Linked DNA regions of Macaca fascicularis. The protein of the gene in region 2 purifies or fractionates together with the protein of the main gene of each other region. This does not show direct contact. Links are inferred from orthologs where the notes say so. Each region holds a gene or a part of one and is shown on either strand. Other genes may lie near its edges.

Region 1 (4,275 bases), on a different chromosome or scaffold from region 2:
CCTGCCATAGGGAGCAGGGCGAGGGTCACCGGTCCCAGACCTCTACCCCAGCGCACCTTCCCCAGAACACCCAGGAGGCTCTGGCAGGGGCTGCCAAGACCCTGCAGCCTCAGCCCGGGTAGGGCCGCTTGCTGGAAGAAGACTGAGCCTCAGAACTGCCCCAGGAGAGCCCAGTCTCGGCAAGGCCTTACCTCCGAGCCCAGGATGGGATTGGGGCCGTGCTCGCTGTCATTGGGGGAGCTGCACCCTGACGCAGGCGTGCTGCTACTACTTGGGGAGGAGTCTGAGGGTTGGGGAGAGAGGGAAGTGCAGTCAGAGGCCAGGGTGGGCAGGAGGGCACAGCCAGGCCACCTGGTGCAGGAGACCCAAGAGCAGCCCCTTCCTTAACGGGCACCTTTGCTTCCTGCTTTCCCTTTTTTTCTTTTTTCTTTTTTTTTTTTGAGACACAGTCTTGCTCTGTTTCCCAGGCTGGAGTGCAATGGCACGATCCCGGCTCACTGCAACCTCCACCTCCTGGGTTCAAGCGATTCTCCTGGCTCAGCCTCCCAAGTAGCTGAGACTACAGGCATGCACCACCATGCCCGGCTAATTTTTGTATTTTTAGTAGACACAGGGTTTCACCATGTTGGCCAGGTTGGTCTCAAACTCCTAACCTCAGGTAATCAACCTGCCTCGGCCTCCCAAAGTGCTGGGATTATAGGTGTGAGCCACCACGCCTCGCCTCCTGCTTTCTTCCCATAAGAGCAGGAAGAAGGCAGGCCACCTTTGGCCTACAGAACCTCTGCACAATTTTTTGAAGGGTGTCCTCTTTTCTGGGAGATGTCACCTTAGCTAACAGAGCAGGGACTGGGTTTCAGCCCCAACTCCCGTGCTTCGGCAAGTATGTGGGACACCCCCCATACAACCATGCATGGCAGTCCTAAGGAGGGGACCCCTGTCTAGGTAGGGCCTGACCCAAAGGGACAAGACCAGCCAGGTTTGAGGATGGCAACTGCACCCGCTCAGCCGGCCCTCACCTCCGAGGGTCTCTGCAGGCCGCCGCCGGAGGCTGGGGGGCGCACTTTCCTTTCGGAGCAGTGGATTCTTCCTCCGCTCCAGGGACTTCTTGGGCTTATAGCGCAGCTTCAGGTTGGGCTCAGAGACTGCAGGGAGCACCAGCGTCACTCAGGCCCCCCCAACCCTTCTTTTTTTCCATCCTTTAGTCCCTCAGTCCCAGTCATCTCTATCAGTCAAGGAAAGAGAAGGCAGAACCAGAACGAAGATCCTAGCCTACCGACGATCCCCTGGCCTGGCCCAGTCCAGCCCGCCCACCCCTGCACACTCCTCCCCTATGTCCAAGGCCCTTCCCCCTTCCTTTGCCTGAAAGGTCCCACCTGTTTGTCCAGCTCACCTGTCTTGCGCAGAGGGAAGTGCTCTGGGGGGTCACTGGGCAGGCTGGGAACAGGAGGCAAAAAGCTGCTGAGCATGGAGCGGGCGGCTCCTTCCGTCTCCAGGGGCTCCAGGGTTCTACAGAATGAGTGCCAAGGCTGCTTCAGAGGGGTGGGGACACTGCACGGGCACCGCCCTGAGCACCAGCCCTGGGACCTGTGGGGCTGGGCAAGGTGGGGCTGGTAGGAATGGGGACCATCTCCAGGTGGCAGCAGTGGGCCACCTGTCCTCTCCAGCAGCTACAGTGCAGAGCTCTGACCTAGGCATAGAAGCCAGGTGCTTGGTGCGTAGGTGAAGAGCCCACTGGGAGCTCTGTCACCTGCACTAGGAACCTGCTCTGGGAACCAGGACATTTTTGTGCTCAGGGAAAATATAAAGAGAGAAGGGGCTCCTGTGCAAGAAAAAAGCCAGTAGGGTGTGTGTATGTGTGTGTGAAGGGCCTCGGGTGGGGTGGGGGTGGGGAGAGAATTTAAAGAGAGAAGAGGGCACGTATCAGTTGAGAGAGGGGCTTGGGGGCATTATGTTTAGAGGAAGGTTAAGGACTGGTTGTGGCAGCTGGGGAGGAAGGAGGCGTGTGTGTGTGCTCATGGCTAACACGGGGGTGGGGGTGGAGGCTGCATGTGGGGACAGGAGGGCAGGTGAGGACGGTGTTACCTGTAGGGAATGCCGGGGCTGTTGGAATGGACTGTTCTCTCTAGGGCTGCCTGCTGTTTTTTCAGAATCACCTCTGCCAGCTTCTGCTTGACCACGCTGCTGGCTACAGCACCTGTAGGGGCAGAGTCACGAAGGGGCTGGAGGTGGGTGGACAGGCAGCCTCATGGCACTCCCTGGCCACTGCCCTGTCCCCATCCTCAGTAGGAGGCGTCCCAGGGACTCCCCGCGCAAGAGCCAAGACCAAGGCCCTACCCCTCCCTGAAGCCTCCAGACACTCCCCACCTGACCCCACATCCCACACACATTCACAGGCGGAGCCCAGGCAAGCAGGGGGAAAGCCTCGGCTCAGCTGGCTGCGCCCCTCCCACCTCACCCCTCACAAGCTATACAGGCAGCCACAGGCACCCGGCTGGTGGGGCTGGGCTGGGCTGGGGCGGTGTCCTCCTTACTTCGCTTGCTCTTGTCCTTGTGGAGAAGCTGCCGCAACTCTTGTTCCTGGGGTCCCACCTGCAACTCGGGCATCGGTGTGTCCATGGAGAGCTGTGGGCAGGGCCGGCAGCCCAGAAAGGAACAAGAAGTTGAGGACTGAGACTGGGGTCTAGGGAGGCTGAAGGCGGGGAGGCTGGGGACCAAGCTCAAGGTGGCCCCACGTGCAGGGAGCTCCATCTTTACCCTCATGGGCTCCACCGAGCGCTGCTGCTGCAGGCCTGCTAGGAAGAGGTGGTGGTGCAGGCGCTGGGGACGCTGCAGGGCCAGCAATGTGGGCTCTGGTGGGGGCTCCACTGGGGGCCGCTGGCCCACCCGCAGGTCCATGGGCTGGGGCTGAGGGCCTGGTGTGTCTGCACAGGGCCTGGGGCAGCCTGGGGACAGAGAGAGGGAGCAGGGTAAGCTGGAAAGTTTGTCCTCGGGGGCATGACTACAGCCTGGTCCTCCATCAGCCTCCCTCAGGCTCACTTGACAATGGCAAAACACTCTCATGGGGTTTTCCTCACTTAATCCTGTCATGGTCCTGCAAGGTAGGTGTTATCAATTCCATTTTACTCGTGAGAAAAAGTCACAGAACTGAACGCAGTTACACTGTATCACTGGTGGTGCTGGAATGGAGCCTTCCGACTTCACCACCGTGCTCTTCCACTAAACATGCTCCTCCCTGGGCCTGGGGCTGAGGGCTACGGTGATCTATGATGGGACATTGTCCTATGGTGGGACATTCTTGGCCCTGCCTTCTCCCTCCCTTCATCCCTCCCTGGAATCAGAGGATTTGCCCAGCTGCCCTTTAATGAGTTGGGCTCAAAGGAAGCAATCAGGCAGGCAAACAGGCCCACTTTGTTCCGCCTCCAGCCCCAAGCCTCACAGGCCCTCTGGGTCGCCACCCTCCCATGCTCTATCCCCAGTCATGAGATAAAGTGATGCCTCAAGCCTACAGCCAGACCTGACCAGCCACGTTGGGCCTGCAAAACCCTGTGCCCAGGGCAGCTTCCTCAGCTCACAGGGCCCATGTGCCCTTGGGCCTGCTCCTGGGTGCCTCCACGGCGGCTCTGGGCCTGGCATGGTCAGGATGGCAGGCACGGCTGCCTCTTCTCAAGAATCCTCTGCACCCATGCTAGGAGCACCCTGCCAAGGCTGTGGGTGCAGGGGCTATTTATAACTAGCCACCAGACTAGGGTCCATGCCAGCCTAGCCAGCTGGACCAGGCTGGGCTGAGCAGCCAGAGAGGCTGAGACACTGGGAGACGGAGCTGTTGCATCGGGCTTATCCTGGAGAAGGGGAAGTGGGTGGGGTGGGAGCAGGCCGGCCCCATGGTGGGGCACACAAGTGGAGAAGCCTTCCTGGAGAGGTCTCCTTCAGCAATTCCAAAGCTGGGTATCTCCCGGTGGGGCAGCCACAGACTGTCCTCAGGGACTGGGGCTGAGGAGGGCTGGAAAGGCCTGTGGCAAAGTACCAGTCCAGGAGTCAGAAATCATAGCCTCCAGGCCCAAGCCGGCCACTCCTAACCACAATCTTTACATCTACAGCACTTGCGAGTGAACATCTACAAAACCCTCTCACCTCATCAACCCACTGGCCCTGGGGGGTAGGCATTACTATCTCGTTATTCTAAATAAGGAAACTGAGTCTCGGAGGTGAAGGGCCCTATCCAAAGTCACCCAGCTAGGGGCAGAGCTAGCATGGGTTCTGGTCCTACCAAGGCAG
Region 2 (3,847 bases):
CAGGCCCAGCTGGGTGAGCTGATGACTCAACGGGCGGGCACTGCATTTTGCTATCCTGCCTCGTCCCGCTGCTCTAGAGGGTTCCCAGCTCTCGGGCCAGACGGGTGACAACTTGTCTGAGTGAAACCGGGAAAGCGCCGCCCCTCGGCGCTCAGCAGGCGGCGGGGGCGCCGCTCAGTCAGTCAGCTAGTTGTGGCGTCCGCCAGGCCTGGCGGGCGGCGGGAAACTCGCCGCGCGCGGTCCGCCGCTCAGTTTCCCATTGGCTCGTCGGGTCCCCCGGGGTGGTACCCTGGGGCAGCTCCCTCCTGTGATTGGGTGGCAGAGCCTCGGGCCCCGCCTCCAGTCCTGGCTGTGAAGGCGAGACCGAGCAATGCGGCCGCAGGTTCCGGCGTGTTGCTGGCTGCAGAGAGCGGAGGCGGCTGGCTCGGCAGGCAATGCTCCCAGCGGCCATTCCCACCCAGCTCGTCCTTCCTCCCCACCAGCCCGTTTCCTTTTGTCTCCATTTCCGAACTCTTTGGGACGTGACCCTCTCCTAAGATCTGGGCTTTTATGGCGGCACTGCACCCCTGCCTCAAATCGTACTTCCCTCCGCTGAGATCTGAGCCCTTGATGAGACTGTGACCCGCCTGTAAATCGGGTGCTCAGTGCCGCTCACTACTGCAGCGCTGTCCTTAGATCTCATGCCGGAGACTTCACTATTTCCTGTCCCGCTCCACCTGAGCTCGTCAGCCTCCCGCGCTGCGGCTCCCACTCACCTCCCCTCGGCCCTGCAGAGGAGGCTCGGCGCCTCCTGTGGGTTCACCTGACCCTCCCGGTCCCATCCAGTTTGACTGGGGCCGCCCTGATGGAGACAGCCGGACCCCGGCCTCACCTGGACTCAAAGTCTTGCGTGCAGGTCACTGAGCCACCCAGGGAGGTCAGGGCCCTAACTCAGAGGTCGAAAGTCAGGATCTCTAAATCAGATTCCAGTTCCACTCCCAACCCATCGCCAAGAACTGGAAAGAGACAGGAGGAGTGTCACAGGGGAACTTTATTGAGAGGAAACATGGTCACACCCAGCAGACATGCTTTCCTTCAATGTCGGTCTTGCACTGGCGCGCGCGCGCACACACACACACACCCATCTCCGGCCCCTGCCACTGTCCAGTTCTCAGCCACAAGGCGGGACATTCCTCAATTCCTACGACCAGAGGCAGCAGGGGCAGGAGTGAGGCAAGAGGGAGGGGAGAAGTAGCCTGGTCCTGGGGTCGGGAGGAAGCGGTGCGGAGAGCAGGGCTGGGGTCATGACCAGTGGTTAGGTGCGCTCAACAGCTGCAAGAAGAGTGGGATCCCCAGCCCCAGGTGGCCTCAGCTCTGCCAGTCCCTCTCCACGGAGCCGTTTGGAGTAAGAACAGCGCCTGGGGGAGAAGGGTGGGGCCTCCCACCCCATATTAGTCCTCTCGGCAGGGTGGGGGACTGAAGGGGGCAGGGCAGGGTGGGGCGGTGGTGGGCAACACTCAGCTCTGGGGCTCCTGGGGAGCCTCGCCCCCCTCTTCCCCGGCGTTGTCGGCCGTCCACAGCGTCAGGTTGTCTCGCAGCAGCTGCATGATGAGGGTGCTGTCTTTGTAGGAGTCCTCGCTGAGGGTGTGCAGATCAGCCATGGCCTCATCGAAAGTGGTCTTGGCCAGCGAGATGGCCTCCTCGGGGCTGTTGGCGATCTCGTAGTGGAAGACGGAAAAGTTCAGGGCCAGGCCCAGGCGGATGGGATTGGTGGGCGGCATCTCCTTCTTGCTGATGTCCATGGCCTCCTGGTAGGCTGACCGGGCTGAGTCGATGATGCGCTTCTTGTCGTCACCAGTGGCCACCTCGGCCAAGTAGCGGTAGTAGTCGCCCTTCATCTTCAGGTAGAAGACCCTGCTCTCCGCGTCCCCAGCCTCCTTGATGAGATGGCTGTCCAGCAGGCCCAGCACGGTGTCGCACACGCCCCGGAGCTCAGTCTCCACCTTCTCCCGGTACTCACGCACCTCGGGGCCCTTCTCCTCCGAGCCCTCCTCATTGCTTTTCTGCTCAATACTGGACAGGACCCTCCAGGCAGCCCTCTGGCCGCCCACCACATTCTTGTAGGCTACTGAGAGCAGGTTTCGCTCTTCGCAGGAGAGCTCCTCACCTTTCTCCACGGCGCCCTTCATGAAGGCTGCCATGTCCTCATAACGTTCGGCCTGCTCTGCCAGCTTGGCCTTCTGGATCAGACTGGCTCTCTCCATGGCTCTGGGGACACACAGGCGGGCGGCGGGCTAACTGCTGCCTGGGACCAATGCCGGACTCTGTGCCTCTCCTGCTCTTGGCCTGCCTTTTGGCTGGGTGGCCAGGCCCAGAGAAGGGTGGGGAGGAGCAGGGGGCGGGACCAGGGCCCAAGACCTGCCTCCCTCTCCTCTCCTCCCCACACCCTTTCCGGCTCTGCAGTCAAGGTAAAAAGGCTGGGATGTGGGGGTGAGTCATCAGAACAGTCAGCAGAAGAAATCTGGGCGTGGGCCCCACCTGCACAGGCACCTTTCCAGGCTCTAGGCTGCCCCCTCTTGTTCGGGGCTGGCATCATATGGCTGCTCACATCAGGAAACTGCCTGGCTTCTCAAATCAGATCCTCCTTCACAGCGTCCTTACAGAGGCTAAGGGCGGCTTTAGCCCCTGGCTGCTTCTGCCTCGACAGAGCCCATAAAGGTTCAGGAGGATGGGGTTCCCAATCCTGCCAGGTAACTTCTCCCCTTGATTCAGGTGAGGATAACTTATGTTTAGGTAGGGCCATAGAGTTTCCCAAGCACTTTCATATTCACCATCGAATTTAATCCCCACTGTGTCTCTGTGACACACACAGGACCACAGAGATGGGAACACTAAGTCTCAGAGAGGGGTGAGATTTGCTCAAAGTCACATAGCCACCACTTCCCTGAAACTCCTTTCTGCACCCTGCTTCCTTTAGCTTTTCTCCCGTTGAAGTCTCTGACCTATGAGCTCCAGGCTGTGTTTGGAAGTGAGATCCAGGCTCTTTCTCAATCTACCTGAAGATGGTTCCATCCCTCAGGCCTCACTCCCCCTCAGGGTCCCCTCTGAGCTCCCAGAATGCGCAGGTGGCAGCTTTCAGAGTGCCACTTAATGAAGTGTTTAACAAGCAGCCTCTGACGCTCCAGCCCAGCCTTTGTAATTAGTCACCCAGTAGGTTTGTTGGACACATTTCCCATCACTACACAATTTTCCCTTTCAAGTTGGTGGCCTGTTGCCACTTGTTTGAGGATTTACCCTCTGGCCCTCCACACCAGGTCACTTGCCCTCTCCAAGCCACATGCCATCAGGTACCAGTGGGGTTCACAGAGGGTGGGGTCCAGCTCCCCGGCTGTCCCACTTTCCTGCCTGACTCAGACTGCTCTCTGTCTGAGGCTGGGAAGCAGTCCAGTTTGATCCCCCAGGGGGGACGCTAGCAACCTGGGGAGAGAGAGGACTGAGAAAGGGAGGTGGCAGTGACACATACCATTCTGTTTTATGGGGCAGCAATCCCAGCTACTCCCCCAGCCTGTCTCTCAGAAGTTTCCCTGTTCCTTCCTTTTTTTTTTTTTTAAATAGAGACAGGATCTCACTACATTGCCCAGGCAGGTCTCAAACTCCTGGGCTCAAGCAATTCTCCTGCCTCAGCCTCCCAAACTGCTGGGATTATGGGCATGAGCCACTTCCTTCCTTTTGACCATTACCCCACCTCTGACCCCTGGCAGAGTCCTCAGATGGAGACCTCTGTTGCCAACCTTCTTTCCCTGCTTGCTGGGGCCCTGGCCTCAAGTTTCATCAGGAGTTTCACCAAAGGGTGTTGGCATTGAGCCTA
Region 3 (4,275 bases), on a different chromosome or scaffold from region 2:
TAACAGCTTTCTTTATTCTATTTACAAACATTGGAGAGCTTAGGAATAAGGATCCAAACATACATGAATTTTATTTGGAAGTGCTTTTATTTATTTATTTATTTATAGACAGGGTCTTACTTTGTTGCCCAGGCTAGAGTGCTGTGGCACAATCTCGACTCACTGCACCCTCCACCTCCTGGTTTCAACCAATTCTCATGCCTCAGCCTTCTGAGCAGCCAGGACTACAGGCGTGTGCCACTAGGCCTGGATAATTTTTTTTTTTTTTTGTACTTTTAGTTAGAGACAGGGTTTCACCATGTCGGCCAGGCTGGTTTTGAACTCCTGGCCTCAAGTGATCCGCCTGCCTTGGCCTCCCAAAGTGTTGGGAATATAGGCTTGAGCCACTGTGCCTGGCCTGGAAGTGCTTTTAAATAGCAAAGAAGGAACAACAGTCTTATGTTTAATTATTATGAACTTAAAGCAAGTAATAGTTGTATTAAAAGCTTATCCACTACAAATATGTAACAACCTGATAGGCCAGGTGTGGTGGCTCGTGCCTGTAATCTCAGCACTTTGAGAGGCTGAGGCGGGTGGATTATGAGGTCAGGAGTTCGAGACCAACCTGGCCAACATAGTGAAACCCTGTCTCTACTGAAAACACAAAAATTAGCCGGGTATGGTGGTGCGTGCCTGTAGTCCCACCTACTCGGGAGGCCGAGGGGGAAGAATTGCTTGAACCTGGGAGGCGGAGCTTGCAGTACGCTGAGATCATGGCACTGCACTCTAGCCCGGGCGACAGAGTGAAACTCCGTCTCAAAAAAAAAAAAAAAAAAAAAAAAAAAAAAAAAAAAAAACGGCCTTCATCCCTTGGGCCGTCAGCCCTCCCAGTCATGTAACAAGGAAGGAAAAATGTAGAGAAGTCTGAAAATCGGCCCCACTACAGCAAGTATCCTCTAAATTGCTCTCTAATAAACTTTCCTAAGATAGTCTATTCCTATAATTAGAAAAAAAGGCTACGCAAATATCCTAAATTTAAAATACAAGTTAGGTAGCATTTACATGCATTTCCAGCATCTTTGTAACTGCTCACTGACTGCCTTAATCTAAAACAGCATGAAATTAAACATTATGTTATGGCACCCTCTTCTGGTAACATAACTGAACTACTCAAATAAAATTATGGTTAGCATACCCATTTCCCCTTAGGATTTAAACATATTACCGCAATAAAAATACTGTTCAGTGGTTACAACAATAAAATGCGTGAGGAAAGAGAGAAGACATCGAGAAGGATGTTATCGACTCTACAAGACATATGTGGCACTTTTCAGAGGTTTTAAGAATCTCGGACACCACGCTTTAGCCACTTAATCAACATTTTACTAAGTATCTGATACAAGCAGGTAGGATGTTGGAAGCCAGGATACAGAGCTGACGAAGGTGGACCTTGCCCTGAAGTTGCTTGCAGTTAACAGTTACAACCCCAGAGAGAGACCTGTCTGGAGTGCATGGGATCACAGATGAAGGGATTTAAATCAGAGGAGAAGGTGTGAGAAGGCTTTCTCCAGGTTTTGATAACTAAGCAGTTTTGAAAAAGGCCAAGCTAACTGGATGCTCAGCGGGAAGGAAGCTTTTAGGCAAGAAGCAGCATATGAACACAGAGCTGAGACAATCATACTTGATTTCGCAGGGGAAAGTGGCTCAGTGTAAAGTATCCAGGTTAGTAGCAGAAAAAGCAAAGGCCATATCACAAAAGGCCACATATGCTAAGTTAAGGAGTTTATTTATTTTTCTTTGGAGAACACAGGGTCTTGTTATGTGGCCCAGGCAAATCTCCAACTCCTGGGCTCAAGCAATCTTCAGTTTCTACTTCCCTAAATGTTGAGATTACGGGTGTGAGCCACCACGCCCAACAAGGTAAGGAGTTTTAAACTCTTTCCTAAAAGCTATAGGGAGCCAATAATGATTTTAAGCAACTGTCAAGATCTGATCTACATATTAGAAACATTTTCTATTTAGAGACATTTTAAGTTACTAGCACTTGTGAAGTCACTGAATAAATACCTAGTATGCATTAGACATATCTCCTAAACCCATAATTTAATCAAGTGACTGAAAACAAAACTAAACAAAGCTAAAATACAACTTTGAAAGCACAAAGAAAAAGTTGCAGTAGCTACGTGAAACCATTCTTAGTTACCTTTTAAACTCGTCATGGTAGAACTCGGACTTGCAAGTTACCATCTCGCTACCCTGGGCGTCCTCACGACTTCGGACTCCCCCAAACACATACAGCTCCATAGCAACTCCACAGGCCACTGCTCCAAACCTGAAAGGCCACACACAGCGTATCAGGCACAAGCAGTACAACGCGAGATCTCACTCCCTCGTTCCTCTTATGCTGGCTTAACTCTGCAGCATTACTATGTAGGCCTTCCTTTCTCAGGAAATGCCAAGTCAAAGAAAAGGTTACTCTGAAAGAAAAGAACAAAACCCAGGCAGGGTAAGGGTAAGGGCTCCAGACCCAGTGAAGAGTTCACCCACATCCGTGTACCTCCTCTCTTTCAGGGGACATATGGCAGTCCACTGCTGGGTCCTGGGATCATAACACTCCACAGACTCAAAAAGCTTTCCATAGGAGCCTCCACCCATGGCGTAGATTTTCTTTTTCATAGCTGCATAGCAGCCGATCTGAAAGTAGAAAACAATGGTGGGGGAGAGGCAACTTTTCTCATTCAGGTCAGGTGGTGCCCACCACCAGGGTAAACTCTCATACACGCCCACCTTCCTATCTTGGTGTGTGGCTGATGACAGGGAAGGCAAACTACCAATAAAGGCAGACTTCTATAAAGTTAATTCTTTTAACACTATCAGTTATATTAAAGGTTTATTCAGGATATGAAGACACATTAAGTTTAAAATCCAATGTGTACACAAACTAGTTACCACAAAATGCGGTCCTCACCTTTCTGACCATGGTCAAATCAGGTTGCTTTGTCCAGGTTTTAGAATAAATATCGTAACACTCCATGGAAATCAGCTCCTTTTCACCATCCTCTCCTCCCAAAATGTACAGCATCCCATCTATCTCCACAATTCCGAAGTTATGTCTTGCCTGAAACGACATCAGCGATCTCTGAACACACAAGGCCAAGGATCATATTAAAAGCTAATATTCATATACTTCATAAAAATTAGAGAGACATAAAGATGGCAACAATAGCCACTGGGGACTCCTAGAGCAGGGAGGCAGGGAGGGGAGCAAAGGCTGAAAAACTAACTATTGGGTATGATGCTCAGTACCTGGGAGACTGGATTAATCTTACTGCAAACCTCAGCATGATGCAATATACACACGTAACAAACCTACACATGTAGGTTTATACCTACCCCGAGTATAAAATAAAAGGTGGAATTATTTTTAAAAATTAGAGACATCTCTTTTTCCCAGTGTTCCAGCTGGAAGTAACACGTTCAAAACCATTTCTCCGGTAATGCGTCTTTTTTTTTTTTTTTGAGACGAAGTCTCGCTCTGTCACCCAGGCTGGAATGCAGTGGCGTGATCTCGGCTCACTGCAAGCTCCGCCTCCCGGGTTCACGCCATTCTCCTGCCTCAGCCTCCTGAGTAGCTGGGACTACAGGCACTCGCCACCGCGCCCGGCTAATTTTTTGTATTTTTAGTAGAGACGGGGTTTCACCGTGGTCTCGATCTCCTGACCTTGTGATCCGCCCGTCTTGGCCTCCCAAAGTGCTGGGATTACAGGCGTGAGCCACCGCGCCCCGCCCCGGTAATGCTTCTTTAAGATTTCTGGCTTCCCTAGCAGCCCCTCTTCCAGCACAGCAGCCAGAGAGGCCAAAGTCATTTCTCAAAACAAGGTTATGAAATACATGGTGAGTTCCTCAGAAAATCCTCACTTTTTAACCCATAATAGCTCACAAAAAGAAAATGAACTGTTACCTCTGATTCAATACAATTATTTTTGCATAACAATGGGCAGTATTTTCAGGTTGACGTGGGAAAGGTTAGTATTGACCAGGGCAGAAAGGGCTGTGGAGGACAGGGTCAGGCCAAGGCTATTTGGGATCACAGAAGCCCTAGGTGTTTCATGTCCGTTTGTCAACGAATATTTACGTAGTGAACCCTATGTGCCAAGCACGATTCTAGCGCTGAAAATGAAACACTGACCAGAACACACATAATTCTCTGCCATCAAAGAGCTTTTGTGAAAAACTTCAAAATGCCTGGTCCATGAGATGGTTAGACGTGGTATGAAGACAGGGACAGGAGAGCTA

Evidence for each region. The genes of interacting proteins can lie anywhere in the genome.
Region 1: the proteins of SFN (region 2) and HDAC7 purify together in Homo sapiens (affinity purification with mass spectrometry; 3 studies listed by BioGRID and IntAct, with this or other methods). This does not show direct contact. The link is inferred for Macaca fascicularis from reciprocal best matches to the Homo sapiens genes SFN and HDAC7.
Region 3: the proteins of SFN (region 2) and GAN purify together in Homo sapiens (affinity purification with mass spectrometry; 3 studies listed by BioGRID and IntAct, with this or other methods). This does not show direct contact. The link is inferred for Macaca fascicularis from reciprocal best matches to the Homo sapiens genes SFN and GAN.

Annotation. Positions count from the first base shown.
Region 1 is NC_088385.1:54,538,172-54,542,446, forward strand, and holds part of HDAC7 (histone deacetylase 7), read right to left. Parts: intron 2,943-4,275; coding exon 2,755-2,942; intron 2,623-2,754; coding exon 2,532-2,622; intron 2,195-2,531; coding exon 2,083-2,194; intron 1,507-2,082; coding exon 1,391-1,506; intron 1,143-1,390; coding exon 1,017-1,142; intron 284-1,016; coding exon 192-283; intron 2-191; coding exon 1-1. UniProt on the Homo sapiens protein: Responsible for the deacetylation of lysine residues on the N-terminal part of the core histones (H2A, H2B, H3 and H4).
Region 2 is NC_088375.1:208,247,147-208,250,993, forward strand, and holds SFN (14-3-3 protein sigma), read right to left. Parts: upstream 2,308-3,847; 5' UTR 2,244-2,307; coding exon 1,497-2,243; 3' UTR 1,013-1,496; downstream 1-1,012. UniProt on the Homo sapiens protein: Adapter protein implicated in the regulation of a large spectrum of both general and specialized signaling pathways. Binds to a large number of partners, usually by recognition of a phosphoserine or phosphothreonine motif.
Region 3 is NC_088394.1:77,247,700-77,251,974, reverse strand, and holds part of GAN (gigaxonin), read right to left. Parts: intron 3,098-4,275; coding exon 2,948-3,097; intron 2,674-2,947; coding exon 2,537-2,673; intron 2,312-2,536; coding exon 2,183-2,311; intron 1-2,182. UniProt on the Homo sapiens protein: Probable cytoskeletal component that directly or indirectly plays an important role in neurofilament architecture.